Linked DNA regions of Stegostoma tigrinum. The protein of the gene in region 1 binds, or shares a complex with, the protein of each later gene. Links are inferred from orthologs where the notes say so. Each region holds a gene or a part of one and is shown in the gene's direction. Other genes may lie near its edges. The genes, in order: cmc1, surfeit locus protein 1, timm21 and smim20.

The links.
Region 2: cmc1 (region 1) and surfeit locus protein 1 share a complex: the UniProt entries of both Homo sapiens proteins name them as parts of the MITRAC (mitochondrial translation regulation assembly intermediate of cytochrome c oxidase complex) complex. The link is inferred for Stegostoma tigrinum from reciprocal best matches to the Homo sapiens genes CMC1 and SURF1.
Region 3: cmc1 (region 1) and timm21 share a complex: the UniProt entries of both Homo sapiens proteins name them as parts of the MITRAC (mitochondrial translation regulation assembly intermediate of cytochrome c oxidase complex) complex. The link is inferred for Stegostoma tigrinum from reciprocal best matches to the Homo sapiens genes CMC1 and TIMM21.
Region 4: cmc1 (region 1) and smim20 share a complex: the UniProt entries of both Homo sapiens proteins name them as parts of the MITRAC (mitochondrial translation regulation assembly intermediate of cytochrome c oxidase complex) complex. The link is inferred for Stegostoma tigrinum from reciprocal best matches to the Homo sapiens genes CMC1 and SMIM20.

The regions. Positions count from the first base shown.
Region 1 is NC_081355.1:62,162,907-62,170,665, reverse strand, and holds the start of cmc1 (COX assembly mitochondrial protein homolog), read left to right. Parts: upstream 1-4,360; 5' UTR 4,361-4,438; coding exon 4,439-4,457; intron 4,458-7,759. UniProt on the Homo sapiens protein: Component of the MITRAC (mitochondrial translation regulation assembly intermediate of cytochrome c oxidase complex) complex, that regulates cytochrome c oxidase assembly.
Region 2 is NC_081382.1:44,015,882-44,024,219, reverse strand, and holds the start of surfeit locus protein 1, read left to right. Parts: upstream 1-5,007; 5' UTR 5,008-5,124; coding exon 5,125-5,190; intron 5,191-5,386; coding exon 5,387-5,462; intron 5,463-6,446; coding exon 6,447-6,574; intron 6,575-7,549; coding exon 7,550-7,632; intron 7,633-8,017; coding exon 8,018-8,209; intron 8,210-8,338. UniProt on the Homo sapiens protein: Component of the MITRAC (mitochondrial translation regulation assembly intermediate of cytochrome c oxidase complex) complex, that regulates cytochrome c oxidase assembly.
Region 3 is NC_081358.1:59,525,654-59,533,441, forward strand, and holds the start of timm21 (mitochondrial import inner membrane translocase subunit Tim21-like), read left to right. Parts: upstream 1-4,567; 5' UTR 4,568-4,666; coding exon 4,667-4,976; intron 4,977-7,788. UniProt on the Homo sapiens protein: Participates in the translocation of transit peptide-containing proteins across the mitochondrial inner membrane.
Region 4 is NC_081354.1:89,190,810-89,199,079, forward strand, and holds the start of smim20 (small integral membrane protein 20), read left to right. Parts: upstream 1-4,814; 5' UTR 4,815-4,879; coding exon 4,880-4,988; intron 4,989-8,270.

The DNA.
Region 1 (7,759 bases):
CTCAAAAATGCCATGATAGAGAATCACATGCCCAACGTGTTCTAGATATTTTCTGATCAACTTTTTCAGAGTTAGAACCAACATATCCAGCTTCTGCACTGATTGTTTCAGGAGATTGAAATGCTTTGAGATCAGTTGAAGAATGCGACACACATCAAGTTCGAGAATGGAGGTATTTAGTTGGTCAAAGTAATTGATTTAGAACACTGTGCAAGTGGTCACCTTAGGAGGGATATTTGAGAGCGAGGGGCCCCAACCTTTTGTAGCATCATCCCAGTACAGCAAGAAACATCGTAGTAACACTAAGCTGTTGGCTCAATGTCACACAATTTAGCCAATAGTTCAAGTGAGTCCAAAGAACTAAATATGAAAATTGAGATTTCTGAACTCCACAAAAGGATGAACTAATAATTATTCACTAAATTGCCCTGAATGTTGTGTTTTGAAGGAAATCTCAGTCTGGAGTGCTGATTGCAAACTCATTTAAATCAAGTGCTTTCATTTGGGAAAAAAAAGCTTTTTATTGAATGATTTGGCAAACTTTTTCCTTTTCATTCATCTTACCCACTTTCCTGCAATTATTTGCAGAAATATAGTTTGTGGTGACCTAGATACAAGGGTTGCTAAGAAACAGCAGACTAGTAAAGAGTGTCTACACATGACTCCTCCTCTAATAATCTCTACCATACCTCTAAAACAAGGAGAAAATGTAAAATACATATTCTACACGTGGGAAAAATTGAATTTTTGCTGCAAAAAAAAATTGATTTTGAAGTGAAACACATTGCAGTCAGAGTTATAGCTATCATTTGTGCCACTTCAGGAACCAAAAAGGTTTACAGTGGTAAATGAAACATTTTGGCTTTTTAAGGTCAGTACTGGTTCTTTGATGCAGCAATTTAAAAAAAACTCACTTCTTAGCTGTCTTGTCTTATTTTTCACTCCCTCATCTTTTAAAAACTTTTTTCTTAATTGACACAGTGATATTTGTCTCAGAGTACTCCTTTCAGCAAGACATTTCCTACTCCAAAAACTCAAAGGAAGAAACTTCACCAACCTTCCCCTTAATTTTCAACTGTTAGCCCTGATAATTGACACTCATCCTGGGGAAGTTTTTCTGTATTCACCTGGTCAAACCCTTCATATTTAAACATCCTTTCTTGTTAGCCTGCTTTGTTTTTGTAAAATAATTATAGTAGCTCAAGTCCCTCTTCTTGTCAATTAGGGCATAACCTGAGATGATTACCCATGTATTTTACACTCCTATTTATTAAATCCAAAATACTGTTGCCTTCTTTTTTGTTAGTGTCAATCCACATTTACATATTCAAAGAATTTTGAACACCATGTCATTTTGCTAATCTGCAACTTGAAACAGTTTGCCATTTGGTGTATATTCCACTTTGTTTTTCCTCCAGAACTGCATCATTTCACTTTTTGATGGTGAACTGTACCTTCCAATAGCTTCTTGTTTGCCTAACCTGTTTACATCCCTGTGTCTTTTATAATTTGCAAAACACCACACTCCCAATCCATGCGTATATCATTAGCAGGTTTTGACACTACGATCTCAAAATCCAGATAATTTAGATAGGTTATGGTCAGCCAAGTGGGCTCAAATTATTTTTGAATCCAATCAATATTCAACATCCTTAATCTTTTACAAACACAAAGTATTGCAAATGTTGTAAATGTGCATGTGTTGGAACGAATCCCTATACTTCACAGCTCTGGCAGCATCTGTGCAGTGCAGGTAGAGCCAGTGGCCAGAATTTTTAAATTATTATGAGGTCAGGATCAAAAGAAGGTAGGCACACAATTTGGCACTGCTGGTGCTGGCCTTCATACCGGTTTGCTGTAATAATCCTGCCTTTAGCACTAATTTTCAATGATGACGGCTTAGGTCTTGATTCCTGGCAGGCAGTTAACTATCGAGAATTACAGGATCTATTAACGGCTGGCTGTGCGCTGACTGGGATTCTCAGTCAGCCATGCCAGTGGCGCATGTCAGCCTGGCTTTCTCCTTCTGTCTCTCTATCCTCAGATCAGTAGCTCTGACCTCAGCTGGTATGGCTGCCTCCCACTGGTTCTCCTGCAAAGGGAGTGTGCCTGTTGTCCCCGATTTAACAATAAGCCACTGCTTGATCTTGAATTAGCTACAACTTTGAAAATCCCAGCGGATAGAAATAAAACAACACGGATCCAGCCCACAAATCTTGATTAAAAAATACTGTCAAATATTTCTCATCATCCATCAGAACTAGGAAATGTTTTTAAGCAAGTGTAAGGGTGAGAGGTGAAAATTGACCAAAGAAAGAGCTGTAATTGCGTGGAAAACAGGAGAGATTACAGAGACTAAAAGAGTTGGTGGTGTAAGACAAAGACTATTAATGGGACAAGAAAGAAAAGATTGGCTAGATTTTCCAAAGTAGCAATGATGCACAGTTGAGGGAAAAGAATGACTTATTGGAAGCACTGATATGTCTTTAGAACATATGTGAAAAATAGTGAAACTGAAAAGTTAGCTTAATGTCTTTACAGGAAGTAGGATGTGATAAAGTATAGTCAAATCAACTGTGGAAGTCAGTGTACAATAAATATTTGTTGATAATTTATCCCTGAAATAGAAACAGAGATGTTAAGGAAATGGTTAAGAAAGAATAGGAAATGGAGCATGGAAGCAAAGTTGAAATTTTCCAGTTTATTGTGAAGAAACAGCACTGATGCAGTCAATGATGTACAGAAAAAATTTGAGGGGCCCTGATTAGGAATGATATAAGGAATAGTTATCAAAGGAAATATATGTGTATCTAAGATCCATGTGTGTAATGAGTGGAATTGAAGGAGAAGGTCTTCAAGTGAGAGAAATTAGCCAAGTGAAGTTCAATGGGCATTGGTTGGAGTTGAAAGATGGAGATACATAAAGATATACATTTCTGATGAGAAGGAGACAGTGCCAGGAATTTGGAAACTGTTGGGAAATCTTTCACCCTACTGTAGACTTTCTCTTTCATCTTGTCCCCACCCAATCTTTAAAAATACTGACAATGTATTACATTTCTAACTTTTCCCACTTTTGCTGAAAGGTCAACAGCCTGAAATATGAAGTTTTTTCAGGCTGCCTGTCCTGCTGAGTGTTACCAGCATCTACTCTTTTTTCAGATGTACGACATCTGTTTGTGTTTTGCTATCATTATATATCTATCATACAGTAATATAACAAGCAAACAGACTCTTCAGTCCAACTCATCCATGCCTACCAGACATTCCAATCTGACCTAGTCCCATTAGGCAGCATTTGGACCATATCCCACTAAACCCTTCCTAATTATATACCCACTCAGATGCTTTTTAAGTGTTGTAATTGTACCTGCCTCCACCCCTTCCTCTGTCTGCTCGTTCCATACACACGCCATCCTCTGCGTTCAAAAGTTCTCTCTCAGGTCCTTTTTAATTCTTTGATCTTTCATCTTAAGCCTATGCCATCTAGTTTTGGACTCCTAGCCTGGGGAAAAGACCTTGCCATCCACCCTAGGCATGTCCTTATGATTTTCTAAATCTCTATAAAGGTTACCCCTCAGCCTATGACACTCAAGGGAAAACAGTCCCAGCCTATTCAGCTTCTCCCTCTCAAAACCTCCAGTCCTAGCACCATCCTTGCAAATCTTATTTGGAACCCTTCAAATTTAACAGTATTCTTCCCAAAGAAGGGTAGACAGAATTGTACGCAGTATTCTAAAAGTGGCCTCACCAATGTACTGTACAGCCACAACATTATGTCCCAACTCCTGCACTCAAAGTTCTGACCAATTATTTGGAAGCCAAAGCCAAAATTGGGTAAGCTGTCCGTGGACTAGTCAAGCAATAGCTTGACAAAGTTATACTCACAGAATCATACCTTGCAGACAAAGATCCAGACACTACCACTACCACTACCATCACCTTCACCTTCACTTGATACGTCCTGCCCACTGACAAGACTGACCCTCTGGAGGAAGTGATTTACTCTGGAAAGCCTCAACATTGACTCCAGATAGCTTCAGGTTTAACATGGGCAAGGTAATCTCCTGCTGATTACCAAATACCGTCCACTCTCGGGTAATGAATCACAAACCTCAACGTTGTGCAACATTTGGAGGAAGCAATGCACATGGCAAGGGCGCCATATGAGCGTGCCTTGCCAGATCCCGAGTTGTACGTCTCACAGGTTAACCACCCCCTCATTGCCGAGTCTTTCAATCGCTCCATTCCCTTCTATCCAAAAGAAATTTAAAATTAACTCGAAGCAGTTTCCTTTAAATAAGTACAAACGCAGCAGGATCAGAAAATCAGCCATAAACCAAAACAGACGGCAGAGAAAACCATCAAACAGCCGGAAGTGGGTCCACGTTACTAGGGTGAAAGGTGAAGGGGAGGGGCCTGCTGTTACGGAGCGGTCATGGATCCCGGTGGTGAAGGTAAAGCCGATTCTTCCGTGTGATCTGAGCCCTGTGGGAGCGACCTGGCTCTGGGTATAAACTGACAGGTCTGTCACGGTGAATTAGGGCGATATTTTCCTATAGTTATGGAAGATAAGATCCGATAGCCGAATCTTTAAATATCCATCGCGCCAGCACACGGCATTGGCGTGTGTGATGGGAAGGACTGCCCTCACTTACCATCCTGCACCCTTCCGGCCTTTCCTCATTTATCCCGCACACCCCCAGTGTCTTCCTCTTTCACTCCCTACCCGCCATCGAGGGAGGGCCCTCATCCCCCTGCCCGCTGCCACCTCGGACTGCCAACCCACCCCACCCGGCATATCCTCATCCCCCATCTCAGGACTGACCCCATCCCCTTCTTCTCACTCCCGCGCTGGAACTGTCTTCATTTCAGTCCCCACTGGGGACTGTACACAGTTCTCTGTGTATTGATGCTCAAGTTGCTGATGCAGTTAGATCATGTATCTTCCTGGTTGAGGCTTACTCATGAATGAAAAGGAACGAGCATTTTTGGTAATTTTTTTGAATCTTATGATGTCCTAATCTTTATAATCAGTGGAATAGTCGTGAAGTCATTTCACTGATATAAAATAGGAGATGTTACACCTCAGTGGGAATATTGTGTCGAATTCTGGGTATCCTTCCCATCTTTAGGAAGAATATGAAAGCTTGGGAATGAAATTTCATTTACTTGGCAAATTGGTGAACTGGGACTATCTTCTTTTGAAATAACAAGGTGTAGAGCTGGATTGACACAGCAGGCCAAGCAGCATCATAGGAGCAGGAAGGCTGACATTTGGCTGCTTGGCCTGCTGTGTTCATTCACCTTGTTATCTCGGATTCTGCAGCATCTGCAATTCCTGTTATCTCTCTCTTCTTTTGAGGTGTTTTAAGAGGAGTTTAGATTTAAGTGTTCCCTGAGGGGTCTGAAGAAAGCAGAGAAGGACAACTTTCTATTTGCGGAAAGCTGACAACTAAATTACGTCAACTTAAAGTGTTTAGCAAAATAACCAGAAGCAGTATGAGAAACATCTTTGTTGTACCATGGCCCAGATTTCCACTAGCTAGACAGTTGTTACTCCAGTGTTGATGGGAATTGACCTTACAGAATTCCTATCATAGCAGACATTGAAGGAATTGCCTGGGAAATTGAATTTTCCATCAGGCACTTTCTCTACACCTGGAGCCCTCCAAAACTCTTCATTCACATTGGAGACTTCAGAGAGTTTCAATGAAATTAAGTAAAGTAATTATCCAGGAAATGTTAGAGCATTAAATAGATGACCCGAAGTAACTATTCACCTGATCCCACGTTTACCTCAAGCACCCTCCATTACACCTCTGTTACTACACCTTTCACCCTCAATCCTGGAACAGACACCTGCGGGGACCTGACTACCATCCTATGACCCCAATGCCCTTTCCTCCCCATTTGGACTGGACCTGACCCTATATAATGCCCCACTAGGACTGGCCCCTCCACCTGACACTTGCTCACCTTGTTAGTCCCGACTTAACATAGCACTAGCAGACCCCGCCACTCACCAGAACTGCAGACCAAACCAGAAACTCCATGACACACCAGGCCTGATGCTACCCCTCACCTCCCCTCCCAACTCCATGAACCAATTTCTACAACATACTTGACCTAACCTAACTTAAATACTACATCACTTAAATTGCACCCTCACCAAGTAGCATTTTATCTGACACTCTGCGCTGATTCTTCATGATTTTCAATAGTTTGGCTGATTTCTCTATCAATAGCTCCTCTCAAATTTCCTTAAATAAAATGAAAGGCCATTAGTGGGTTAGCCTGACACAAGGGCAAAAGAAATGGAAAAATACCAAAGGGCGAAAAGACATGAAAAAGGCCACACAAGTAACAATGTGAGAAATATTAGAGAAGGGAAGAAAAAAGCAAACAAGCTGAAAATATGGCAGGTTGTTTTTATTCTTGAGATATGGGCAATGTTGACAATGCCACATTTATCACCAACTCCTAATCTACCTAAAGTACTGCTAGACTTTCTTGAATAGCTGCTGCTGTTTAATTAGAGTTCCTAAGGTAACTGAGGAGAGAAGGGGAGAATTTTGATCAAACAATAATGAAGGAATAACAATATACAAGTCAGGATAGATTGTGTCTTACAAGTTAGTAGTATTCCTTTGATATTGATGCTGTTGCCTTTTTCTATGTTTGAGGTGTGAGATTGAGCTGTGTCATCAAACTCTACTAGGTGAACAAGACACAGTCCAGATACAGTGGAGGTAATGATTATTGACTTGCTAGTTATGGATACTGATCAGTAATAATAAAAACTGTAAACACTCAGTGGGCCTGGTAGCTTTTGTGGTGAGAGAGACCAGAGTTAACATTTCAAGTCTGTGACCTTACATCAGATTTTCTCTTCCTACAGATGCTAGAAATACACCTCAGTTTTTCTCTTTCCACAGATGCTAGAAAAGCTACGGAGTATTTTCTGTTTCAGATTTTCATCATCCAAAGTATTTTGCTTTTATGTAGTAGTAGTTACACTGAAAACAATGTTAATTTCAAGCTTGGGTTAGTATTCCAATATGATTCCAACAAAAAACATTATGCGCTGTGGTTCTTCTCAACCTGTCTATAGTCTGTGACACAGTTGGTCATGCCATCTTTCCAGCTGCACTCAAGAGGTTGAGATTGTGATGGTTTGGCTCCATTTTGACTTGTACAATCAAAACTAGAATATCTATTTCAATTGTTTCTCCTCTCACTTATGCAACATTACCTTGGAGACCCTAGGAACCAATCCTTAATCTTTATCAAAATCCTTGTTTTCATGTCAATGCTGATAATACTTAGCTCCACGCCGCCACTATCTTTCTCGGTCCAACTGCTTTTTTCTGAATTACCAGACTGCTAATCTGACCAAATGAGCAGGAATTTCGTCTAACTAAATATTTGGAAGATCAAAGCTGTCTGAGGCTGAACCAGACTTTTTGGTTATAGAATTGTGTGACGTTATTTTCACCTCTGTAACATTGCTTGATTCTAGCGAGTTTTGAGAAGATTTGTAGCTCAGGTTGAGGTTCTGGATGTGAGTTTGCTTGCTGAGCTGGAAGGTTAGTTTTCAGACGTTTTGTCACCTTTTTTTTGTCACTTTTTTTTATTTTGAAAAAATATACTCGATTCATAAGATGTACAAAAAATAAAACATATTTATACACCTACCCAGTCATGCAAGCCGCTCCGGGTTACCCAGGGGGTACATACACCAACTAAAGGGAAAAAA
Region 2 (8,338 bases), on another chromosome or scaffold:
AGTCCCACACACACTGACTCTCACTGGGGTACAGTCCCACACACACTGACTCTCACTGGGGTACAGTCCCACACACACTGACTCTCACTGGGGTACAGTCCCACACACACTGACTCTCACTGGGGTACAGTCCCACACACACTGACTCTCACTGGGGTACAGTCCCACACACACTGACCCTCACTGGGGTACAGTCCCACACACACTGACTCTCACTGGGGTACAGTCCCACACACACTGACTCTCACTGGGGTACAGTCCCACACACACTGACTCTCACTTGGGTACAGTCCCACACACACTGACTCTCACTGGGGTATAGTCCCACACACACTGACTCTCACTGGGGTACAGTCCCACACACACTGACTGTCACTTGGGTACAGTCCCACACACACTGACTCTCACTGGGGTACAGTCCCACACACACTGACCCTCACTGTGGTACAGTCCCACACACACTGACTGTCACTAGGGTACAGCCCCACACACACTGACTCTCACTGGGGTACAGTCCCACACACACTGACTCTGACTGGGGTACAGTCCCACACACACTGACCCTCACTGGGGTACAGTTCCCACACACTGACTCTCACTGGGATACAGTTCCATATGCACTCTCATGACTACTCTTCCTCTGTATTCTTGGTCGGGAGGTATTAGTTTTGAATGTGGTTATTCTGTTCATTCAAGGTATAGAGCTGGATGAACACAGCAGGGCAAGCACCATCAGAGGAGCAGGAAGGCTGACAGGTCTTCACAAGTGTCTAGGCCTGAAATGTCGGCTTTCCTGTTCAGCTGATGCTGCTTGGCCTGCTGTGTTCATCCAGCGCTACACCTTGTTAGCTCAGATTCTCCAGCATCTGCAGTTCCTGCTAACTCTGTTCATTCACACAGGTTTCTATGTACTGATATTTTTGTCAAGCTGTGGATTGTGGTGAGGTAATCACATCTGAAAGGCCTGAAGTGGCAATATTAACAAATCTGCAGCAGCTCAACTTTCAAATCCAACAACTTGGGGAGCAGCTGTCATTCCAGCTCAATGATTACGCTGTTAGACTGTGAGTGAAATGTAAACGGTGCCATTTTCTCATTGTAAACATTTTTCTCAATGCACACGAGATCAATAATTATCAACACAGGGCAGCATTACGGTGATGTGAAGAGGATTAATCTGACAAGAGGGTTAATATGGAGCAAGTGAAGAACATTCTTCACTTGCCTTTTTTGTCAAGCTGTGTTATTCCAGGCAGAGCTTTCCCCAACACACTGGTCTGAAGATGTTGCTCCAGTCTGATTGCTCCATGTCAGGGAGTCTTCCTTGTGATTTTAACTAAATAGTTCACTTGCATTCCTGAAGGCCAGGCATTCACTGACCCTGAAGGCATCAAACTAGTGTGCAAAAAAACAAATTATCTGCATTTATTTATTTTCAAAAGGTCAGCTGAAGTAAAATGGAGTTTTCTGAATGCTCTGTTCTGCTTTGTACACGTACCAGAGAGCCAAGGAAAACAGTGAATCCAAAATACCATGAACCCAAACTCTGAACCTCAAGCACCAAGAACTGAAACACAAATGTCATAAACTGTAAAAAGTGAAACCAAACAGTTTGTCCCCCACTGAACCCCAGCTCTGGAGAGATGGAGTAAGGCTACATTCCCTTCCACTCAGACAAACCAGGAACAAAGGACAAAACTCTGAAGAGGAGCATCTCCTCTGGTCACTTCCAGCAACAATAAGTGCAACTTAATAAAATAAATAACTGAGTGTGTATCTATCATTTGAAGGATCACTGAGAGGAAAGTTCATTAAATTTAAAATGTTTAAGAAGTTGTGTTGAATGTATGTTTCACATTCTAGCATAAACAGGGGCCAAGGAAACTGCTTTATCATGACAGGCACCTGAGTCCGGTGCTTCTGAAACTGTTCATTTTGTTTCATGTTCCATGCTTTTCTGTCTCTTGATTCTATCTGAGAACATTGCCAAATAAATGTGTTGCTTGAAAAGGTTGGGCACACTATTTTTGAATAACGCAACGCAAATAGATTGAAAATAATTTGTGACACACCAACTAACTGCCAACATATACCAATTTAATAACAATCATGTTTTGCTGTACGAGTCGTTGTCAGTGTTGGGTAGAAGGTTCAGGGAGAACTGGAAAAACAAATTAGAGAAACAAACAAAGAGTACTAGAAGAGACTGATAGTGAACAAAAAAATAAATGCAGAAGTTTTCTCTAGACACAAAAAGTAAAAGAGACTAAAAAGAGGATTTACACATGGAGACAATAGTCCTGGCTTGTGCTAAATGAACATGTAGCAGCACTGTGTTCCAGAAAAGAGGTTGTCCCAATCATAGTGAAGGACGAGATTGTTCAGACACTTGAAAGGTTTAAGATTGATAAGGAGATGGGATTGGACAGGCAGTCCGCACTTAAAGTTGTTCAGGTACCATAACTGGGTGAGGTGCTCTGAGGACACTGAGGTAAGTGAGAGAGGAAATTGCAGAAGCACTGGTCATAAATTGTCAATCTTCTTCAGAGTCAGGGATGGTGGAGAATTGTAAATGTTACACCATTAGTGCAGCAACTACAGGCTGGTCATTTTAACTTCACGGGTGGGAAAACTACGATTGTTCAGGACAGAATTGGGCAAATGTTGGGTCATTGAGGAAAGGCAACATAGAATTGTTAAGGGTGAATAGTGCTTATCTAACCTGACATTTTTTGATCAGATAACAGGGAATGGGTAATGAGGATAATGATGTTAATGTGTACATGGACTTCCAAACTTCATTTACACAGTGACTCCTGGACTTCAGGGGTTAAGTTACAAGGAGAGGTACACAATTTATATCTGTTTTCTCTAGAATTTGGAGGGCTAACGAATGATATAGTTGAAGTCTTCAAGATATTAACAGGAAAAGATAAACAGATAAAGTGATGGAACATGTCATCAACAGTGCTGTCAAGCAGCACCTGCTCAGTGATGCCCAATTTGGGTTCCACCAGGGATACTTAGCTCCAGACCTCATTACAACCTTGGTTGAAACACAGACAAAAGAGACCTGAAATGCAGAGGTGAGGTGAGAGTGACAGCCCTTGATATCAAGGCTGCATTCGACTGAGTGTGGCATCAAGGAGCCCTGGCAAAGCTGCAATCAGTGGGTATCGGGGGCAAATGCTCCAGTGGTTGGAATCATACCTGACATAGATGAAGATGGTCGTGATTATGAGAAGTCAATCAGCTCAGCTCCAGGACATCTCTGCAGGAGTTCCTCAGGGTAGTGTCCTAGGCCCAACCATCTTCAGCTGCTTCATCAATGAAATTCCCTCCATCATAAGGTCAGAAATGGGGATGTTCGCTGATGATTGCACAGCACCATTCGTGACTCCTCAGATACTGAAGCAGTCCGTGTCCACATGCAGCAAGATCTGGACAATACACAGGCTTGCGCTGATAAGTGGCAAGCTGTGACCATTACCAATAAGAGACAATCCAACCACTACCCCATTACATTCAAATGTGTCACCATCACTGAATCACCCAAGATTAACACGCTGGTTGTTATCATTGATCAGAAGCTCAACTAGAATCCACATCAATGCAGTGGTTGTAAAAGCAAGTTAGAGGCTAGAAATACTGCTTCAAGTAACTCACTTCCTGACTCCCCAAAGCCTGTCCACCATCTACAAGGCACAAGTCAGCAGTGTGTTGGAGTACTCCCCACTTGCCTGGATGAGTGCAGCCCCAACAACACTCAAAAAGCTTGCCACCATCCAGGTCAAAGCAGCAACTGATTGAATGGCACTGCATCCACAAGCATCCATTCCCCACACCACAGACACTCAGGAGCAGCAATCTGTACTATCAATAAGATGCACTGCAGAAATTCACCAAAGATCCTCAGACAGCATCTAAACCCAGGACTACTTCCATCTAGAAGGATAAGGGCAACAGATACATGAGAACACCAACACCTTCAAGTTACCCTCCAGGTCACTCACCATCCTGACTTGGAAATATATCGCCGTTCCTTCAGTGTTGCTGGGTCAAACTCCTCCAATTCCCTCCCTAAGGGCATTGTGGGTCAACCTACAGCAAATGGACTGCAGCAGTTCAAGAAGGCAGCTCACCCACATCTTTTCAAGGGCAACTACGGACAGGGCAATAAATGCTGGGCCCAGCCAGTGATGCCCACATCCCACAAAATGAATAAATAAAAGAACAATTTTTAAAAAAGACAAGCTGGGTAAAGATAAACTGTTTTCACTGTTTGCTGATTCTAGTGCCAGGTGCATAGGGTTGAGAATTAGGGCCACGCTGTTCAGGAGAGATTATCTCATATTCTCCAGTATTGGCAGTTCCTACTATCTCTGTTCAGGAGATATGCTAGGAAGCATTTCAATACACAAAGGGTGGTAGACTTTGGAAAATCTCTGTCTCAAATGTCAGTGGATGCTGGATCAGTTATTAATTTAAAATCTGAGATAAATTTTTGTTAAGCAAGCTATTAGGAGGATGGAAAAATAGAACATCCTTTATGGTCCAAAGGGCCAAACGCAGGTACCATGGAGTTAAGCCATAGATCAGCAATGATCTCATTGATTACTTTTCCACTGCTGGGATGAGGACATTGCTAACCAGACCAGCAGTTATTGAGGGTCACCCACTACTGTGGGTTCGCAGTCACATGTTGACCACACACGACACTGAAAGGCTAGCAGCTTCAGAGGGCCAGCAGGACACGGAAGGGGCGAATGGACTGCAGTGTGATACACAGACAAAGTGTAATTCAGGAGACACCATTGAGAAGCCACAGGCAGAGCAGGAACACACCACGTGGCAGCGAGGCCCCGCCCCTTTAGTGTGGCGCCGCGGTTGGGCTCAGCCGGAAGTGACGGCATAGTTCCGCTTCCGGGTGAACATGCTGCGGATTCTCCGGTGTTCGCCCCGGGTGAGAGACCCCGACACCGCCCCCCACCCACCCCCCTCGCCCTCCCCACACACCCCCCCCGTACTGGAACAGCACAGCTCGGGCAACAGCTTGTTCTGGAGTACAAATCATCAGTGTCATCGCCAGAATGTTGTCAGGGCCTATAGCCTTTGCAGTATCCAATGCCTCCAGCCACTAATCTAAAAGCCAGCCTTTCCCCAGTTTCTGGAATCGTGCATTTTGCTGAGGTTTGTTGTGTGATGAGATAGTTCTGTCTAAAGGTCTGGCTTTATTTGAATGGGCTGAATGGTCTTCTCCTGAGCAGATTCTACTAAACCGTGAAGTGACACTGAAAGAGAGATATTGGCTGTTGTATCAGTGAGGCCCATGAGAAGTATCAGGGGTCAAGCCTTATATAATGTTTGCTTTCTGTTTCACCTGCAGCTCTTGAATGCTTGTTCGGCAGAAGTTTTTCCTGGGACTGAACTGGTCTTACCCCATGTCAGAGCAAAACTTGCAGGTAGGCAGCTGTGGTTACAGCTTGGAAATCCTGACATTAATATTCCAACTTCAGCATTGTGCAAAAACACCAAGATAATTCACAGAAAAATCAATCAACAGAGTTTAACATTAGAGTCATAGAGATGTACAGCACAGAAACAGACCCTTCGGTCCAACTCGCCCCTACAGACCAGACATCCTAAATAAGTCTAGTCCCATTTTGCCAGCATTTGGTCAATATCCCCTAAACTCTCCCTATTCATGCACCCTTTTAAATGCTGTAACTGTACCAGCCTCCACCCCTTCCTCTGGCAGCTCACTCCATACACGCACCACCCTCTGTGTGGAAAAAGTTGCCCCTCAGGTCCCTTTTATATCTTTCCCCTCTCACCTTAAACCTATGCCCCTCTAGTATTAGACTCCCCCCACCCTGAGGAAAGACCTTGTCTATTTACCCTATCCATGTCCCTCATGATTTTAGAAAAAGGTCACCCCTCAAACTCCAATGCTCCTGGGAAAATAGCCCCCCGCCCATTCAGCCTCTCCCTGTCGCTCAAACCCTCCAACCCTGGCAACATCCATGAAGATCTTATCTTCACTCTTTCAAGTTTCACAACATCGTTCCTATAGCAGGGAGACTAGAATTGCACACAGTACTCCACGTCAGGGCAAGTAAGCAGGATTGATTTTTCAGAGCATTAATGAAGCAGAGAATGGCAGAGAGGTTTCAGGCGGGAATTCCAGAGCTTGGGGGCCAAGCAGCTGGGGCATGGCCACCAAGGGAACAGCAAAGGGAAACAGAGAGTGTTTGAGAGGCCAGGGTGGAGGCACACAGCTCACAGGGTCAGGGGTGACAGAGATGGGGGCGGGTGGAGGGGGTGACAGAGATGGGGGCGGGTGGAGGGGTGACAGAGATGGGAGGGGCTGGGGATCATGTGATGGTGATAGGGAGAGGTCTTGGCCTCTGATTCCTGTCGGGGTTAATTCTGTGTCTCTGCTGAAGGGGTTGCTAAGAGACGAAATGGGGTGAACATTTCCACGACCACAGTTGCCACGGGGACCGATGATTCATTCCTGAAGTGGACCCTGCTCCTGATTCCTGTCACTACCTTCAGCCTGGGCACCTGGCAGGTAACCACTGGGAGTGGTGGTACATGCAGGTCACGGGAGAGGGGAACAGTTGGGTGTGGGTTGGCGCAGGTTTGGGATGGATGGATGGATGGAGGGGTTTGGGATGGATTTAGAGGTTTGGGTGGAGGGATGGGATGAGGTGGAGGGATGGGGATGGGGTGGTGGGAGGCAATTAGGTGGATGGATGGGGTTGGAATAGAGGAATGGGGTTGGAATGGAGGAATGGGGTTGGGATGGATCGGGGGAGTTGGGTGGAGGGATGGGGATGGGATGGATGGAAGGGCTTGTGTGGAGGGATGGGGTCGGGATGGATGGAGGGGATTGGGTGGAGGGATGGGGTTGGGATGGATGGATGGAGGGGATGGGGTGGAGGGATGAGGATGGGGATGGGATGGGATGGAGGGATGGTGTTTGGGCGGAGGAATGGGGTTGGGATGGATGGGGGGGGTATTGGGCAGAGGGATGGGGTTGGGATGGAGGGGATTGGGTGGAGGGATGGGGATTGGGATGGGGTAGAGGGATGGGGATTAGGATGTTGGGGGGGGATTGGGTGGAGGGATAGGGTTGGGCTGGATCAAGGGGATGGGGTTGGTATTGTTGGGGGGGTTGTGTGGAGGGGTGGGGATTGGGCTGGATGGAGGGGATGGGGTGGAGGATTGGGGATTGGGCTGGATGGAGGGGATGGGGTGGAGGATTGGGGATTGGGCTGGATGGAGGGGATTGGGATGGATGGAGGGAATGGGCTGAAGGGATGGGGAATGGGCTGGGGTTGGGGAGATGGGGATTGGAATGGATGGAGAGGATGGGGATGGGGTGGAGGGATGGGGATGGTGATTGGGATGGATTGAGGGGATGGGGATGGGGTTGGGCTGGATGGAGGGGATGGGGATTGGGATTGGGAGGGATGGATGGAGGGGATGGGGATGGGGGTCTGAGGCCTATTGCTGCTCTTTCAGGCTCTCACTGTCTGCTCAGGTGCAGCGGCGGAAATGGAAGCTGCAGCTCATCAAGGACCTGCAAGCACGAACTCGCTCGGAGCCACTGCCCCTGCCCCTGGGGTAAGTCACACTCTGCTCCTGCCCCACCCCCGGGGTAAGTCTCACTGAACTCCTGCCCATGGGGTAAGTTACCCCGAGCCCCTGCCCCGGGATAAATCACCTTGAGCCCCTGCCCCTGTCCCCGGGATAAGTCACCCTGAGCCCCTGCCCCTGTCCCCGGGGTACGTAACAGTGGGCCCCTGCCCCCCCACCCCTGGGGTAGATCACACTGAGCCCTCCTCCAGGCTAAGTCGCATTGATCACCACCCCCCAAGGCCCCACAACCTCGGGGTGGAGGGGAGTCACACTGTCCTCCTTTGTGATGGTTTCTGTTCAGGTGGGGGTGGGTTGTTCACGGCTGTTTCACTGTCACATAGACTCTGAGCGTTGCCTGTCTATGTCCCAGGCAGTTGGAGCTGAAGCAGCTTGAGTACAGGAGGGTGAGGGTCCGAGGGAGGTTTGACCACTCCAAGGAACTCTACATCATGCCGCGAACGAGGGTGGACCCAGACAAAGATGTACAAGAAGCTGGGCGCCTGATGTCCAGCACAGAGCCTGGAGCCAATGTGATCACTCCATTCGACTGTACTGAGCTGGGGTATGTATCCTGTCGCCCCCTGTGTTTGACAATGAACACTCCCAATTCATCCCTCACACAGGAATAGCACGAGGCCATTCAGCCCATTGAAGTTGTCACATCATTCCATCACACAATGCTGTACGGAAA
Region 3 (7,788 bases), on another chromosome or scaffold:
ACTGTTCACAATATTCCAAGTGTGGTCCGACTAAAGTTCTGTAAAGTTGCAGCGTAACCTGTCTGTCCTTATACTTAAAACCCCTTCCAATAAAGGCAAGAATGCCAAAGCCTTTTTTACGACCTTATCAACCTGTACCGCCACCTTCAGTGATCTGTGGACCTGCAGATCTGTCTGCAATTCAATACTCCTAGGGGTTGTGCTATTCACTGTATAATTTCCACCTATACTTGACCTTCCAAAATGTATCACCTCACATTTGTCCAGATTAAAGTCCAGCTGCCATTTTTCTGCCCATGCCTCCAACTTATCTATATTCTACTGTATCCTCTGACAGTCCTCATTGTCCACAAATCTACCAATCTATGTATCATCCGCAAACCTACAAATTGGACCAGCCACGTTTTCCTCCAAATCATTTTGGGGCAGCATGGTGCCACAGTAGGTAGCACTGCTGTCTCACAGTGCCACAGTTCCAAGTTTGATTCCAGCCTTGGGTGACTGTCTGTGTGGAGTTTGCATATTCTCCCAGTGTCTGCATGGGTTTCCTCCGGATACTCTGGTTTCCTCCCACAGTCCAAAGATGTGCAGGTTAGGTGGTTTGGCCATGCGATATTGCCCGTAGTGTTCAGGGAAGTGTAGATTAGGTGGATTATAGGGTAATGGGTCTGGGTGGGATGCTCTGAGGTTTGGTGTGGATTTGTTGGGCCAAAGGGCCTGTTTTCACACTGTAGGGATTCTATGATTTTGGTCAATCTCAAACAGAAGAGGTCCCAGCACTGATACTGCACAACCCTCCATTCCAAAAAGCATCCTTCCACTGCTACCCTGTGTTTCCTATGACTAAGCCAATTCTGTATCAGTCTTACCAGTTCACCCTGATACGGTGTAACATTTTTTTTTTAAACCTTATCAAAGGCTTTGCTGAAGTCCATGTAGACAACATCAACAGCTTTTCCTTCATCAGAGATAATGTGAACTGCAGATGCTGGAGAATCCAAGATAACAAAGTGTGAAGCTGGATGAACACAGCAGGCCAAGCAGCATCTCAGGAGCACAAAAGCTGACGTTTCGGGCCTAGACCCTTCATCAGAGAGGGGGATGGGGAGAGGGTTCTGAAATAAATAGGGAGAGATGGGAAAGCGGACTGAAGATGAATAGAGGAGAAGATAGGCGGAGAGGAGAGTATAGGTGGGGAGAGGATAGGTCAGTCCAGGAGGACAGACAGGTCAAGGAGGCGGGAAGAGGTTGGTAGGTGGGAAATGGAGGTGCGGCTTGAAGTGGGAGGACGGGATAGGTGAGAGGAGGAACAGGTTAGGGAGGCGGGGACGAGCTGGGTTGGTTTTGTGATGCAGTGGGGGGAGGGAATGAGCTGGGCTGGTTTTGGGATGCAGTGGGGGAGGGGGAGATTTCGAAGCTTGTGAAGTCCACATTGATACCATTGGGCTGCAGGGTTCCCAAGCGGAATATGAGTTGCTGTTCCTGCAACCTTCGGGTGGCATCATTGTGGCACTGCAGGAGGCCCATGATAGACATGTCGTCTAAGGAATGGGAGGGGGAGTTAAAATCGTTCACGACTGGGAGGTGCAGTTGTTTATATTGTGAACCGAGCAGAGGTGTTCTGCAAAGCGGTCCCCAAGCTTCCGCTTGGTTTCCCCAATGTAGAGGAAGCCACACTGGGTATAATGGATACAGTATATACTACATTAGCAGATGTGCAGGCTTCCTAAACAACCACAGGAAGTGCTACACTTGCCCCCAGACCTCCTCCCTCACCCCCACCCCAGGCCCCAAGATGACTTTCCTTATTACATCTGCTTAATAAGGAAAGTCATCTTGGGGCCTGGGGTGGGGGTGAGGGAGGAGGTCTGGGGGCAAGTGTAGCACTTCCTGTGGTTGTTTAGGAAGGTGCCGGTTGTGGTGGGGTTGGAGGGGAGTGTGGAGCGGACAAGGGAGTCACGGAGAGAGTGGTCTCTCTGGAAGGCAGACAAGGGTGGGGATGGAAAAATGTCTTGGGTGGTGGGGTCAGATTGTAGATGGCAGAAGTGTTGGAGGATGATGCGTTGTATCCGGAGGTTGGTGGGGTGGTATGTGAGGTCGCGGGGGATTCTCTTAGGGCGATTATGGCGGGGGCGGGGTGTGAGGGATGTGTTGCGGGAGACACGGTCAAGGGTGTTCTCGACCACTGCAGGGGGGACATTGTGGTCCTTGAAGAATGCTGCCATCTGGGATGTGCGGGAGTGGAATGCCTCATCCTGGGAGCAGATGCGGCGGAGGCGAAGGAATTGGGAATAGGGTGCTGGAATTTTTGCAGGGGGGTGGGTGGGAGGATGTGTATTCTAGGTAGCTGTGGGAGTCGGTGGGCTTGAAGTGGACATCAGTTTCTAGCTGGTTGCCTGAGATGGAGGCAGAGGGGTCCCGGAAGGTGAGGGATGTTTTGGCCAAAGATATCTGTCAGTGCTCCAGCAATTTGTTCTCTTGCCTCTCTCAATATTCTAGGATAGATCCCATCAGGACCCAGGGACTTATCTACCTGAATACTTTTTAAGACGCACAACACCTCTCTCTTTTTAATAGCAACTTTGTTTAGAAACTCAACACTGCCTTCCCTGAGATTATCCTGAACCAATTCTTTCTCTTTGGTGAATACTGACACAAAGTATTCATTTAGGTCCTCATCTACTTCTTCAGGCTTCACAGATAGATTCTCTCCCTTGTCCTTGAGTGGGCCAAACCTTTCCCTGGGTACCTTGTTGCTTTCATAGATGTATGAAAAATTTTGGGATTCTCCTTAATCCTGTTTGCTAACAACTTTTCATGACCCCTTTTAGCCCTTATAATTCCTTATTTAAGTTCTCTACTACTTTTCATATGTACTTCAAGGGCTTCATGAGTGCCCATCCACCTAGATCATACGTATGCTTCCTTTTTCTTTCTGACCAAGATAATAACATCCCTGGTCATCCAAGGTTCACATAACTTTCTTTATTCTTTCAGGAAATGAGGGCATCGCTGGCTTGGCAGTATTTATTGCCCAGAGAGCAGTTAAGAGCCAACCACACTGCTGTGAATCTGGAGTCACATAGGCCAGACCAGGTGAGGATGGCAGATTTCCTTCCCTGAAAGACATCAGTGAACTAGATGGAATTTCCCTAACAATCAACAATGGATTCAGTCATCATGAGATGTTTAATTCCAGATATTTATTGAATTCAAGGTCCCCTGAACGTTATCTGGGTCTCTGGATTAACAGTCCAGTGATAATACCACTAGGCCATTGCCTCCCCTATGGCCATTGCCATAGCTATATGTCATTCGCGCAGGAATGTGCTTCTCCTGAACTCTTATCAACTGCCATTTAAAATATTCCCAAATGTCGATGTAGATTTACCCTCAAACAGCTACCTCCAATCCAAATTCACCAGTTCCCGCCTAATACTGTTGTAGTTCGCCTTCCCCCAATTTAACACTATAAGACATAGGAACAGAAATTAGGCCATTCAGCCCATCTAGTCTGCTCAAACATTCAATCATGGCTGATAAGTTTCTCAACCCCATTCTCCCACTTCCTCCCCATAACTATTGATCCCCCCAACAGTCAAGAACCGATCTATCTCAGTCTTAAAGAAACTCAATGACCTGACCTCCACAGCCTTCTGAGGCAGTGCATTCCATAGATTCACCACTCTCTGGCTGAAGAAGTTTCTCGTTACCTCCATTCTAAAACCTCTTCCCTTTACTCTAAGGCTGTGCCCTCAGATCCTGGTCTCTCCTACTGATGGAAACATCGTCCCAACATCCACTCTGACCAGACTTTTCAGTATTCTGTAAGTTTCAATTAGATCCCCCTGCACCCTTCTAATCTCCGTCAAGTATAGACCCAGAGTCGTCAACCATTCCTTCAATATACTTTTCATTCTTTCACACGGGAAAGCTGTTATCCCCATCCACGAGTAACCTTTGGCCACCTGATGTGGAGGGAGAGGGGCAAATTAAAGGATCATTTGAGACCTGGGCCTGGTCCAAATGGCCATCAAAAGTCCAGACAGCACACTGTCAAGAGGGTTATTAGCTCAAATGCCTGTTTCTATCTAGAGGTAAGTATCTGTCATGATGAAAGGTCCACAAAAGGTCATATGGTCTATTCCTGCTCCCAGTTATTACTTCTTATTTACTGCCACCAAGTCCACACCACTAGATGTGTCCACAAGTGCAACTGAGATCTTCCACAACCACTGGAAGGGCAACAATTGATGGCCAATATTAGGAATTCCATGACGTTATTGCCTTGTATTTCTGTGCACTTTTACGAATTTGGTTTTGGATAGCAACATTGAACATCTAATTGGTGTGTATTATAATGAGTTGGGATTGCATTATGTTTAAGAAATTGGTCTGTGCCTTAGAAGGGTTAACGACTTGAAACAGACATCCTCTATTTCAGTAGCAGATATGTGCCCCGCTGCAACAACTGAAACAACCAATGAAAAAGGTAGGCGGAAATCGGGGGAAAGCAGTATGGATTTTGTAGTTTTTGTCGAATCGTGTTCTTGCAACCAATAAGCAGGCGGAACTACATGTCCCACCGATCTATTCAGACGCTGATCCAATGGAAGAATGACAGCGAGGTAGAAAGTATAGTTTCTACAATAGAAAAGAGAAACAAATGGCTAATGTTTACTTTTTGCGAGCGGTGTGCACACACAGAAGAAGGCTGGTGTTCCAGTACAAAACCCAATTCTCGCTACACTGTTCCGCACGACCCCAAATCTGTAACTCGTTTCGTGAGAGGCCTGGAATTGTAGGAGTCACTACTTGTCCGCTGCAAAAGCAGCACTCACTTTACTTCGTTAGCACGGTTCCCTGGCGGTGCATTTTCACAGAGACTAAATTGAGAAATCCAGCTCCGGGGAAGAAGCAAGAAAACAAAGTATCATTGAGAAAGAGTACCCCGCCCGCATCAACAACTCAGAAAGGTAAAATTGTTCCAAATTGTCCCTTCGAACTAACACCCTGTAATCTGAGTATTTAACACTGCTGTCCGAGATCAAGGTCTGTACAAAACTAAGTTATTCCACTTCCTTACCTTAGCCTCCACAGTTAGCTCAGAATTCAAAGTTAAAACCAATTAGAAGAGGAGTGCAATGAGTGATATCGGGAAAAAAAAGTCTGACATAGACGTACCAAAATTCAAAGAACTTGAATTTGTTTAGCACCTTCTTATTGTCAACTATCCCACAGTGTTCCAGGTGGTTCATTGGAGTTTACCAGACAAAGTAAAAAGTTGCCCATATGTTGGCAGCAACAGTGAGACAAATCCAGCCTGATCAGTTATAATTCTTGTCAGCCTAGCTTCAATCATCAGGTTAAAATGTGCTATTAAGTGACACTTGTACTGCAAAACGTGCTCATTTTGTGTTCCACTGGGGCCACTTGTTCCTGGACCTCATTGCAGCCTTGGCCCAAAAGTGGACGAAAGAGCTGAATTCCAGGATTGAAGGTGGAAGTGGCTGCTACTGACATAGATACAGCTGAAGTTGTGACACTGAGGAGCTATTAGAAAAAATGATGCCAATGGGAATCAGGGAGAAAACTCTTCACTAACTGGAGACTTATCAAGTACAGAGAAAGGAGATTGTTGGAAGCCAGTTATTTCAGCAGTAGGAGCTCTTCAGGTCAGTGAGAAAAATCCAACTATCTTCAGCAGCTCCATCCATTTTAGGGTCAGAATATTTGACAATTATTTTGTTTTCTGGTCCTCTCGCAATTATTCAAACAATGAAGTCATCTGTGCTTTCATGCAGTTAGTCAGGTAACATCCAAGTTTGGATTGAAAAGTGTCAAGAAAAAGTTGTGAACAGAAATGCCCATCCCCAAAAAATGGATCTAACAACATCCACTTCACATTCATTGGTATTTCCATCGACCTACCCCTCATGATCAATATCATGGGTGTAGAGTTTATCATTGACCAAAATGTGAGACCAACATAATGAATTCTGTAATTACAATACTATTTGAAGGTATGATGACTGTAGTGATTACACATTTTCTAATTTGTTAAATTCTATCCATCAAGCCAAAATCTAATGCACTGCACTCACCTTACTGTGATAGTACAGAGATAATGGGAACTGCAGATGCTGGAGATTCCAAGATAAGATTCCAAGATTCCAAGTCTAGGCCCGAAACGTCAGCTTTTGTGCTCCTGAGATGCTGCTTGGCCTGCTGTGTTCGTCCAGCCTCACATTTTATTATCTGTGATAGTACAGATCCCAGTTGTTACATTTTCACTGGGACTAAATTGAGAAATCCAGCTCCGGAGAAGGAACAAGACAACAAAGTATCCTTGAAAAAGTGTGCCCCATCCTCATCATGCTTGCATGCAGCTCCAACTACACTCCAGACTTTACACTATCCAGGGCAAGGAAGTCCAATTGATCAATTGCTCAGACACCACTTGAAATGTCATTCATACCAGCAGGGCTGCAGTAAGTGGTATCTACCAGGTTCTGTTCAGAAACTTACCAAGATGTCTTCAACAGCATTTTGAAAGCCTTCCATCTTTACCATCTGGAAGAACAAAGGTATCTGGCAGACAGGAACACTGCCAAGTTCCCCTTCTATGTCACACAAGGCTCTGACCTATTAGCCTATCCGTCATTGTCACTCGGTTAAAGTTTTTGAACTTATCTAACAACATTGTGAGCATACCAATGCTACGTGACCTGCAGCAGCTCAAAAAAGAAATTCCCCACAAGCAAGGGTGACTAGGTAATGGGCAATAAATGCTGGCCTTTCCAGTGATGTCCACAACCTGTGAATTTTTATTTTAGATGTGCGTGAAAGAACATCAATTACAGCCCTTGCTGCAGTAGATCAATGTGAGAACCTAGTTTTAAACTGCAAAGTGCTATTTACCACAATGAGATGGTTGACTAGTTATTCCTAATGAATTTACCTAATCCCTGAACAACATGCGCCATGGGGAGAAAGTTGGAAAAATCACGAGAGATGGCCAGCAAGTTGAGGACAAAGTTCCATTTTCCAACTAAGTGTTGAATGATGAGACAAGATTCTTGCGCTTGAGTGATGAGAGGCATTTTAGTGCATATCTCCCTATTAATTATTCTATCCTCAGTATGGTGAAGTTTCCCATTCTCCTGCCTAACAGACAAAAACTAGATGTTGACAAATTTCCTGATATAAAAGCCAGAGCCGTTCCCTGGTGAATCTATCTGGCCTCTTGCCCATCTAAACATTCATCTTTGACATCTTTGGACATGCTCCATAGGCAATGCACACTCCCACCCTGACTACAGATAGAGATCTGACGTTTACCAGCGTCAGTGTATCATCTGATCCATAGCATATTTCTGCACTTCAAGCCTGTGTTTTGGAGCATGCTGGCATACTTCATCTCAATGCTGTTGCCAAAACACTCTGCGCACAAAGGGGCACCCAAGTCACAGATTGGATCAGGCTCATCAAAGGGCAATTTGCTAGCTCTCTTGGGTTAACTTGCATTGCGCTTACTTAAATGCTCGTGGAATCTCTGCCTTGCCTTAATTTTAACGCTTTGTCCCCTCAGCCAGAACTTAAGGCGCACAGTAATTTTATCTTGCCTTATCTCAGACACAATGCCAAGCAGCTTGTCTTGTTTGCCAGGTGTGATCAGTTAAGCGGGTGGGAATGTTGCATATATCACTATACTGTGTCAGTGCCAAGGGTAACAACATTCAGACAGAGGTTGTCAGCACATCATGGCAAGGTTCGCTTCTGATATTA
Region 4 (8,270 bases), on another chromosome or scaffold:
GGATGTAGGTTTCACTAGCTGAGCGAGAATTTGTTGATGATTCTTAATTGCCCTTGAACTAAATGGTTTGCTAGCCACTAAGAGTGCAGGTAAGAGTTAAACACATTGTTGTTGAGGGTCTGAAGTCACATATCGGCCAGATGAGATAAGGATGGCAGTTTTCTTTTCCAACATTAGAAGATCATTAGTGGACAACTTTGATTTTATTGAAGTTGAATTCCATTATCTGCCATGGCGTGATTCTAACTCAGGTTGGCTGCTATTAGCCTGGTTCAATCAGAGGCATGGCTGACATTTATAAACAGGGAGATCAGACATCCTATACACTCAGAGGACTGGCTCTGAGGACCAATGTCAAGAACTCTCCATGTGCAAATAAAGGGTTACTTGGTGGTGGGATACTGGCCTTCATGGAGTTATTTCAGTCCCCAGACCATTATCTCGGTCCCTGTAATAATAACACTACACCATTGCCTCCCTGTTACTTGCCATTAAACATATATTCTGCTTTGCCTACTGTTTTCAGCAGAGTGAACAACTTCATATTTTCCCAGATTAGATTCCATCTGCTAGATTTTTGCCCACTCACTCAAATTATTTATATCTATCTGCAACTTCCTGATGCCTTCTTTACAACATATTTTCTTTGCTATCTTTGTGTCATAAGACCATAAGACATAGGAGTGGAAGTAAGGCCATTCGGCCCATCGAGACCATTCTGCCATTTAATCATGGCTGATGGGCATTTCAACTCCACTTCCCTGCGCTCTCCCCGTAGCCCTTGATTCCTTGTGGGATCAAGAATTTGTCAATCTCTGCCTTGAAGTCATTTAATGTTCTGGCCTCCACTGCACTCCGTGGCACTGAATTCCACCGGCCCACCACTCTTGGCTGAAGAAATGTCTCCTCATTTCCGTTTTAAATTTACCCCCTCTAATTCTAAGGCTGTGCCCATGGGTCCTAGTCTCTCCCATCTACTATAACAAATTCAATCATATTGAGTAAAAACCAAAAGAACTGTGGAAGCTGTAAATCAGGAACAAAAACAGAAGTTGCTGGAAAAACTCAGCATCTGTGGAGAAAAAAATTAGAGTTAATGTTTTGGGTGCAGTGACCCTTCCTTAGAGCTGATGGTAGCTAGGAAACGATTAAATGCAGAATATAGGGAGGGGGAGGGGCAGTAAACTATAAGTAGGGATAGAGCCCAAAGAGAGAGAAGAGCTGTTGGATAGACGAAGAAGTTGATGATGATCTGGCTGGGAGGGTGAATAGCTGCTAATGGGGACAGTTAGTAACCAACAATAGGTAGTGTGTAATGGAAAGCTATGTGATAACAAGACTTGGTGTGTGGGGTAGAGGAAGAGGATGAGGAGGTGGGAGAGTTTAGGCCCTAAAATTATTGAACTCGATATTGAGTCCTGAGGTCTGCAGGGTCCCCAAGCGGAAAATGAGGAAAACCTAAGATGTTGTACCGAGTAATAATGGGAACTGCAGATGCTGGAGAATCCAAGATAATAAAATGTGAGGCTGGATGAACACAGCAGACCCAGCAGCATCTCAGGAGCACAAAAGCTGATGTTTCGGGCCTAGACCCTTCATCAGAGAGGGGGATGGGGTGAGGGTTCTGGAATAAATAGGGAGAGAGGGGGAGGCGGACCGAAGATGGAGAGAAAAGATAGGTGGAGAGGAGAGTGTAGGTGGGGAGGTAGGGAGGGGATAGGTCAGTCCAGGGAAGACAGACAGGTCAAGGAGGTGGGATGAGGTTAGTAGGTAGGAGATGGAGGTGCGGCTTGGGGTGGGAGGAAGGGATGGGTGAGAGGAAGAACAGGTGAGGAAGGCAGAGGCAGGTTGGACTGGTTTTGGGATGCAGTGGGTGGAGGGGAAGAGCTGGGCTGGTTGTGTGGTGCAGCGGGGGGAGGGGACGAACTGGGCTGGTTTTGGGATGCGGTGGGGGAAGGGGAGATTTTGAACCACCCCCAGGCCTCCTACCCTCCCTTGACCTCTTCATCTCTAACTGCCGTCGAGACATTAACCGCCTCAACCTCTCCACCCCTCTCACCCACTCCAACCTGTCCCACCCAGAACGGGCAGCCCTCCGCTCCAACCCCAACCTCACCATCAAACCCGCAGACAAGGGTGGCGCAGTGGTAGTATGGCGCACTGACCTCTACATCGCCGAGGCCAGACGCCAACTCTCCGACACCACCTCCTACCGCCCCCTCGATCATGACCCCACACCCGAGCACCAAACCATCATCTCCAACACCATTCATGACCTCATCATCTCAGAGGACCTCCCACCCACAGCCTCCAACCTCATTGTTCCCCAACCCTGCACGGGCCGTTTCTATCTCCTTCCCAAAATCCACAAACCTGCCTGCCCTGGTCGACCCATCGTCTCAGCCTGCTCCTGCCCCACCGAACTCATCTCCACCTATCTGGACTCCATTTTCTCCCCTCTGGTCCCAGAACTCCCTACCTACGTCCGTGACACTACCCATGCCCTCCTCCTCCTCCAGGACTTCCAATTTCCTGGCCCCCAACATCTCATTTTCACCATGGTCGTCCAGTCCCTATACACCTGCATTCCGCATGCAGATGGCCTCAAGGCCCTCCGCTTCTTCCTGTCCCGCAGGCCCGACCAGTCCCCTTCCACCGACACCCTCATCCGCCTAGCCGAACTCGTCCTCACCCTCAACAACTTCTCTTTCGATTCCTCCCACTTCCTACAGACTAAGGGGGTGGCCATGGGCACCCGCATGGGCCCCAGCTATACGTGCCTCTTTGTTGTTACGTGGAACAGTCCCTCTTCCACACCTACACAGGCCCCAAACCCCACGTCTTCCTCCGTTACATTGATGACTGTATCGGCGCCGCCTCTTGCTCCCCAGAGGAGCTCGAACAGTTCATTCACTTCACCAACACCTTCCACCCCAACCTTCAGTTCACCTGGGCCATCCCCAGCACATCCGTCACCTTCCTGGATCTCTCAGTCTCCATCTCAGGCAACCAGCTTGTAACTGATGTCCATTTCAAGCCTACCGACTCCCACAGCTACCTAGAATACACCTCCTCCCACCCACCCTCCTGCAAAAATTCCATCCCCTATTCCCAATTCCTCCGCCTCCGCCGCATCTGCTCCCATGATGAGGCATTCCACTCCCGCACATCGCAGATATCCAAGTTCTTCAAGGACCGCAACTTTCCCCCCACAGTGGTCAAGAACGCCCTTCACCACGTCTCCCGCATTTCCCGCAACACATCCCTCACACCCCGCCCCCGCCACAACCGCCCAAAGAGGATCCCCCTCGTTCTAACACACCACCCCACCAACCTCCGGATACAACGCATCATCCTCCGACACTTCCGGCATCTACAATCTGACCCCACCACCCAAGACATTTTTCCATCCCCACCCCTGTCTGCTTTCCGGAGAGACCACTCTCTCCGTGACTCCCTTGTTCGCTCCATACTGCCCTCCAACCCCACCACACCCGGCACCTTCCCCTGCAACCGCAGGAAATGCTACACTTGCCCCACATCTCCTCCCTCACCCCTATCCCAGGCCCCAAGATGACTTTCCACATTAAGTAGAGGTTCACCTGCACATCTGCCAATGTGGTGTACTGCATCCACTGTACCCGGTGTGGCTTCCTCTACATTGGGGAAACCAAGCGGAGGCTTGGGGACCGCGCAATAAACAACTGCACCTCCCAGTCGCAAACCATTTCCACTCCCCCTTCCATTCTTTAGATGACATGTCCATCATGGGTTTCCTGCAGTGCCACAATGATGCCACCCGAAGGTTGCAGGAACAGCAACTCATATTCCGCTTGGGAACCCTGCAGCCCAATGGTATCAATGTGGACTTCACCAGTTTCAAAATCTCCCCTTCCCCCACCGCATCCCAAAACCAGCCCAGTTCATCCCCTCCCCCCACTGCACCACACAACCAGCCCAGCTCTTCCCCTCCACCCACTGCATCCCAAAACCAGTCCAACCTGTCTCTGCCTCCCTAACCTGTTCTTCCTCTCACCCATCCCTTCCTCCCACCCCAAGCCGCTCCTCCATCTCCTACCTACTCACCTCATCTCACCTCCTTGACCTGTCCGTCTTCCCTGGACTGACCTATCCCCTCCCTACCTACCCCACCTACACTCTCCTCTCCACCTATCTTTTCTCTCCATCTTCGGTCCGCCTCCCCCTCTCTCCCTATTTATTCCAGAACCCTCACCCCATCCCCCTCTCTGATGAAGGGTCTAGGCCCGAAACGTCAGCTTTTGTGCTCCTGAGATGCTGCTGGGCCTGCTGTGTTCATCCAGCCTCACATTTTATTATGTTGTACCGAGTGCCTTTGTGCCTAAGATGATGCTTGGCCTGCTGTGTTCATTCAGCTCGACACTTTGTTATCACAGTTTCTCCAGATTCTGCAGTTCCCATTATCTGTGATGCTGGGAATAGTGACTTTGTACACTTTTCACTGTACTCCTGCATCCCTGTACTTCAGAACAGTTGACAGTAAAATCTAATTATAATTCCTCAGGAGGAGGAGCCAGGCATTGTTGTTTTCGGTGACTGAGAACTGAACGTATGAAGTATCCACAGCAAGAAATGCTTCATGACATGAAGCCACCGGATGAGAAATTGGCAAACTATTTGAATAAGAGATAGCAACAATCAGAAAGGAAGCAGACTGGGCTCAGCGCGTGCGCAGTGGAGCAGAGTGCGCTAAGATGCCATTCGGTGGGAATTGCCCGTCTCAAAGGTGGCGGCCGCGCACCCGGTCACATGATACTTCGCGCACGCGCGTACCGGGACGGATATAGGAAGCAATTGTCGGGGTGGGAGAGTCGTCCGTTCCGATCCGTCAGCGTGCGCCATGGCTGGGCATGCGCGGGTGGTTTTGTTGTTCGGTGGCTTCGCCGCTCTGCTGGGAGCCGCCTTTTACCCCATCTACTTTCGGCCGCTGATTTACACCGAGCAGTACAGTGAGTGAGAGAAACAATCTGCGGCGGAGGTGGATGGTCGGTGCGGATACGGCTAGTTACCGGCTCTAACTCCCACCCTTTCCTGCTGTGTCCCCCTCCCCTCACCCCCTGTGGATTTGATGATGTTTCATCAGAGTGAGGGTCACGGCCTTAGGACGTGTGGCTGAAAGGGGAGAGTTGCCTTTGATCAGGGTGATGAATCTGTGGAATTCTCGACCACGAAGCCAGGTCACTGAAGATAATAAAATGTGAGGCTGGATGAACACAGCAGGCCAAGCAGCATCTCAGGAGCACAAAAGCTGACGTTTCGGGCCTAGACCCTTCATCAGAGAGGGGGATGGGGAGAGGGAGCTGGAATAAATAGGGAGAGAGGGGGAGGCGGACCGAAGATGGAGAGAAAAGAAGATAGGTGGAGAGGAGAGTATAGGTAGGGAGAAGATAGGTCAAGGAGGTGGGATAAGGTTAGTAGGTAGGAAGTGGAGGTGCGGCTTGGGGTGGGAGGAAGGGATGGGTGAGAGGAAGAACAGGTTAGGGAAGCAGAGACAGGCTGGGCTGGTTTTGGGATGCAGTGGGTGGGGGGAAGAGCTGGGCTGGTTGTGTGGTGCAGTGGGGGGAGGGGAAGAATTGGGCTGGTTTTGGGATGCGGTTGGCGAAGGGGAGATTTTGAAGCTGGTGAAGTCCACATTGGTACCATTAGGCTGCAGGGTTCCCAAGCGGAATATGAGTTGCTGTTCCTGCAACCTTCGGGTGGCATCATTGTGGCACTGCAGGAGGCCCATGATGGACGTGCCATCTAAGGAATGGGAGGGGGAGTTAAAATGATTCGTGACTGGGAGGTGCAGTTGTTTATTGCGAACCGAGCGGAGGTGTTCTGCAAAGTGGTCCCCAAGCCTTCGCTTGGTTTCCCCAATGTAGAGGAAGCCACACCGGGTATAATGGATACAGTATACCACATTGGCAGATGTGCAGGTGAACCTTTGCTTAATATGGGAAGTTATCTTGGGGCCTTGAATGGGGGTGAGGGAGGAGGTGTCGGGGCAGGTGTAGCACTTCCTGTGGTTGCAACTGAAGGTGCTGGGTGTGGTGGGGTTGGAGGGCAGTGTGGAGCAAACAAGGGAGTCATGAAGTGATTGGTCTCTCCGGAAGGCAGACGAGGGTGGGAATGGAAAAATGTCTTGGGTGGTGGGGTCAGATTGTAGATGGCGGAAGTGTCGGAGGATGATGCGTTGTATCCAGAGGTTGGTGGGGTGGTGTGTGAGAACAAGGGGGATCCTCTTGGGCGGTTGTGGCGGGGGTGGGGTGTGAGGGATGTGTTGCGGGAGACGTGGTCAAGGGTGTTCTCGACCACTGTGGGTGGAAAGTTGCGGTCCTTGAAGAACTTGGACATCTGGGATGTGTGGGAGTGGAATGCCTCATCCTGGAAGCAGATGCGGCGGAGGCAGAAGAATTGGGAATCGGGGATGGAATTTTTGCAGGAGGGTGGGTGGGAGGAGGTGTATTCTCGGTAGCTGTGGGAGTCAGTAGGCTTGAAATGGACATCGGTTACAAGCTGGTTGCCTGAGATGGAGACTGAGAGATCCAGGAAGGTGAGGGATGTGTTGGAGATGGCCCAGGTGAACTTGAGTTTGGGGTGGAAGGTGTTGGTGAAGTGGATGAACTGTTCGAGCCCCTTTGGGGAGCAACAGGCAGCGCCGATGCAGTCGTCAATGTAACGGAGGAAGAGGTGGGGTTTGGGGCCTGTGTAGGTGTGGAAGAGGGAATGTTCCACGTAACCTACAAAGAGGCAGGCATAGCTGGGGCCCATGCGGGTGCCCATGGCCACCCCCTTTGTCTGTAGTAAGTGGGAGGAAACAAAAGAGAAGTTGTTGAGGGTGAGGACGAGTTCGGCTAGGCGGATGAGGGTGTAAGTGGAGGGGGACTGGTTGGGCCTTGAGGCCATCTGCATGCGGAATACAGGTGTATAGGGACTGGACGACCATGGTGAAAATGAGGTGTTGGGGGCCAGGGAATTGGAAGTTCTGGAGGAGGTGGAGGGCGTGGGTGGTGTCACGGACGTAGGTAGGGAGTTCTGGGACCAAAGGGGAGAAAATGGAGTCCAGATAGGTGGAGATGAGTTCGGTGGGGCAGAAACAGGCTGAGACAATGGGTCGACCAGGGCAGGCAGGTTTGTGGATTTTGGGAAGGAGGTAGAAACGGGCCGTGCGGGGTTGGGCAATAATAAGGTTGGAGACTGTGGGTGGGAGGTCCCCTGAGATGATGAGGTCATGAATGGTGTTGGAGATGATGGTTTGGTGCTCTGTGGTGGGGGGGGGTGGGTGGGTTCATGATCAAGGGGGCGGTAGGAGGTGGTGTCGGAGAGGTGGCGTTTGGTCTCGGCAATGTAGAGGTCAGTGCGCCATACTACCACTGCACCACCTTTGTCTGCAGGTTTGATGGTGAGGTTGGGGTTGGAGTGGAGGGAGCAGAGGGCTGCCCGTTCTGCGGGGGAGAGGTTGGAGTGGGTGAGAGGGGTGGAGAGGTTGAGGCGGCTAATGTCTCGGCGGCAGTTGGAGATGAAGAGGTCGAGGGAGGGTAGGAGGCCTGGGGGTGGTGTCCAGGAGGAGGACTTGTGTTGGAGGTGGGTGAAGGGGTCAGTGGCGGGAGGGTTGGGCTGCTGGTTGAAGAAGTAAGCGTGGAGGCGAAGAGCAGTTTTTCCGCCGCCTTTGTCCAAACGTGACTGGTATTCGTTCATGTGTGGTTGTTGGGGGACAAAGGTGAGCCCCTTGCTTAGGACTGACCGTTCGTCCTCAGTCAGTGGGAGGTCTGGGCAGATGGTGAAGATTCAGCAGGGCTCAGTGTGGCTGTCCTCTCTGGGGTTGCTGGCTATGGAGGTTGTGGGCGGAGCGATGAGGTTGTTGGCCGTGGGCGGGGTTCCGTCGGTGTCGGCCGTGGGTGGGGTATTAATGTATGTTAAAGAGAAATACACTTCTAAAGGCTAGCAGTACCAGGGTGTTGAAATGGGGGGGAGTCATCAGTGATTTTGTTGAATGGTGGACTGAGCTCCAATGGGACGAATGCCTGTTTTTGCTCCTATTCATCATGTTTCTCTCGCATCCACAACCTCCCATTCACATGCTGTCCGGTTCATTGTTCGTGCACTGTTGGTGGGTCAAAATGCTGGACTTCCCTCCGCCACGGCACTGTGGATGTACCTACATAGGGACTCTGGCAGTTTGAGAAAATGGCTTCCCCCCCTGTCTTGTCCAAGTTAGTAAGAGATGGGCAATAAATGCTGACTTTGCC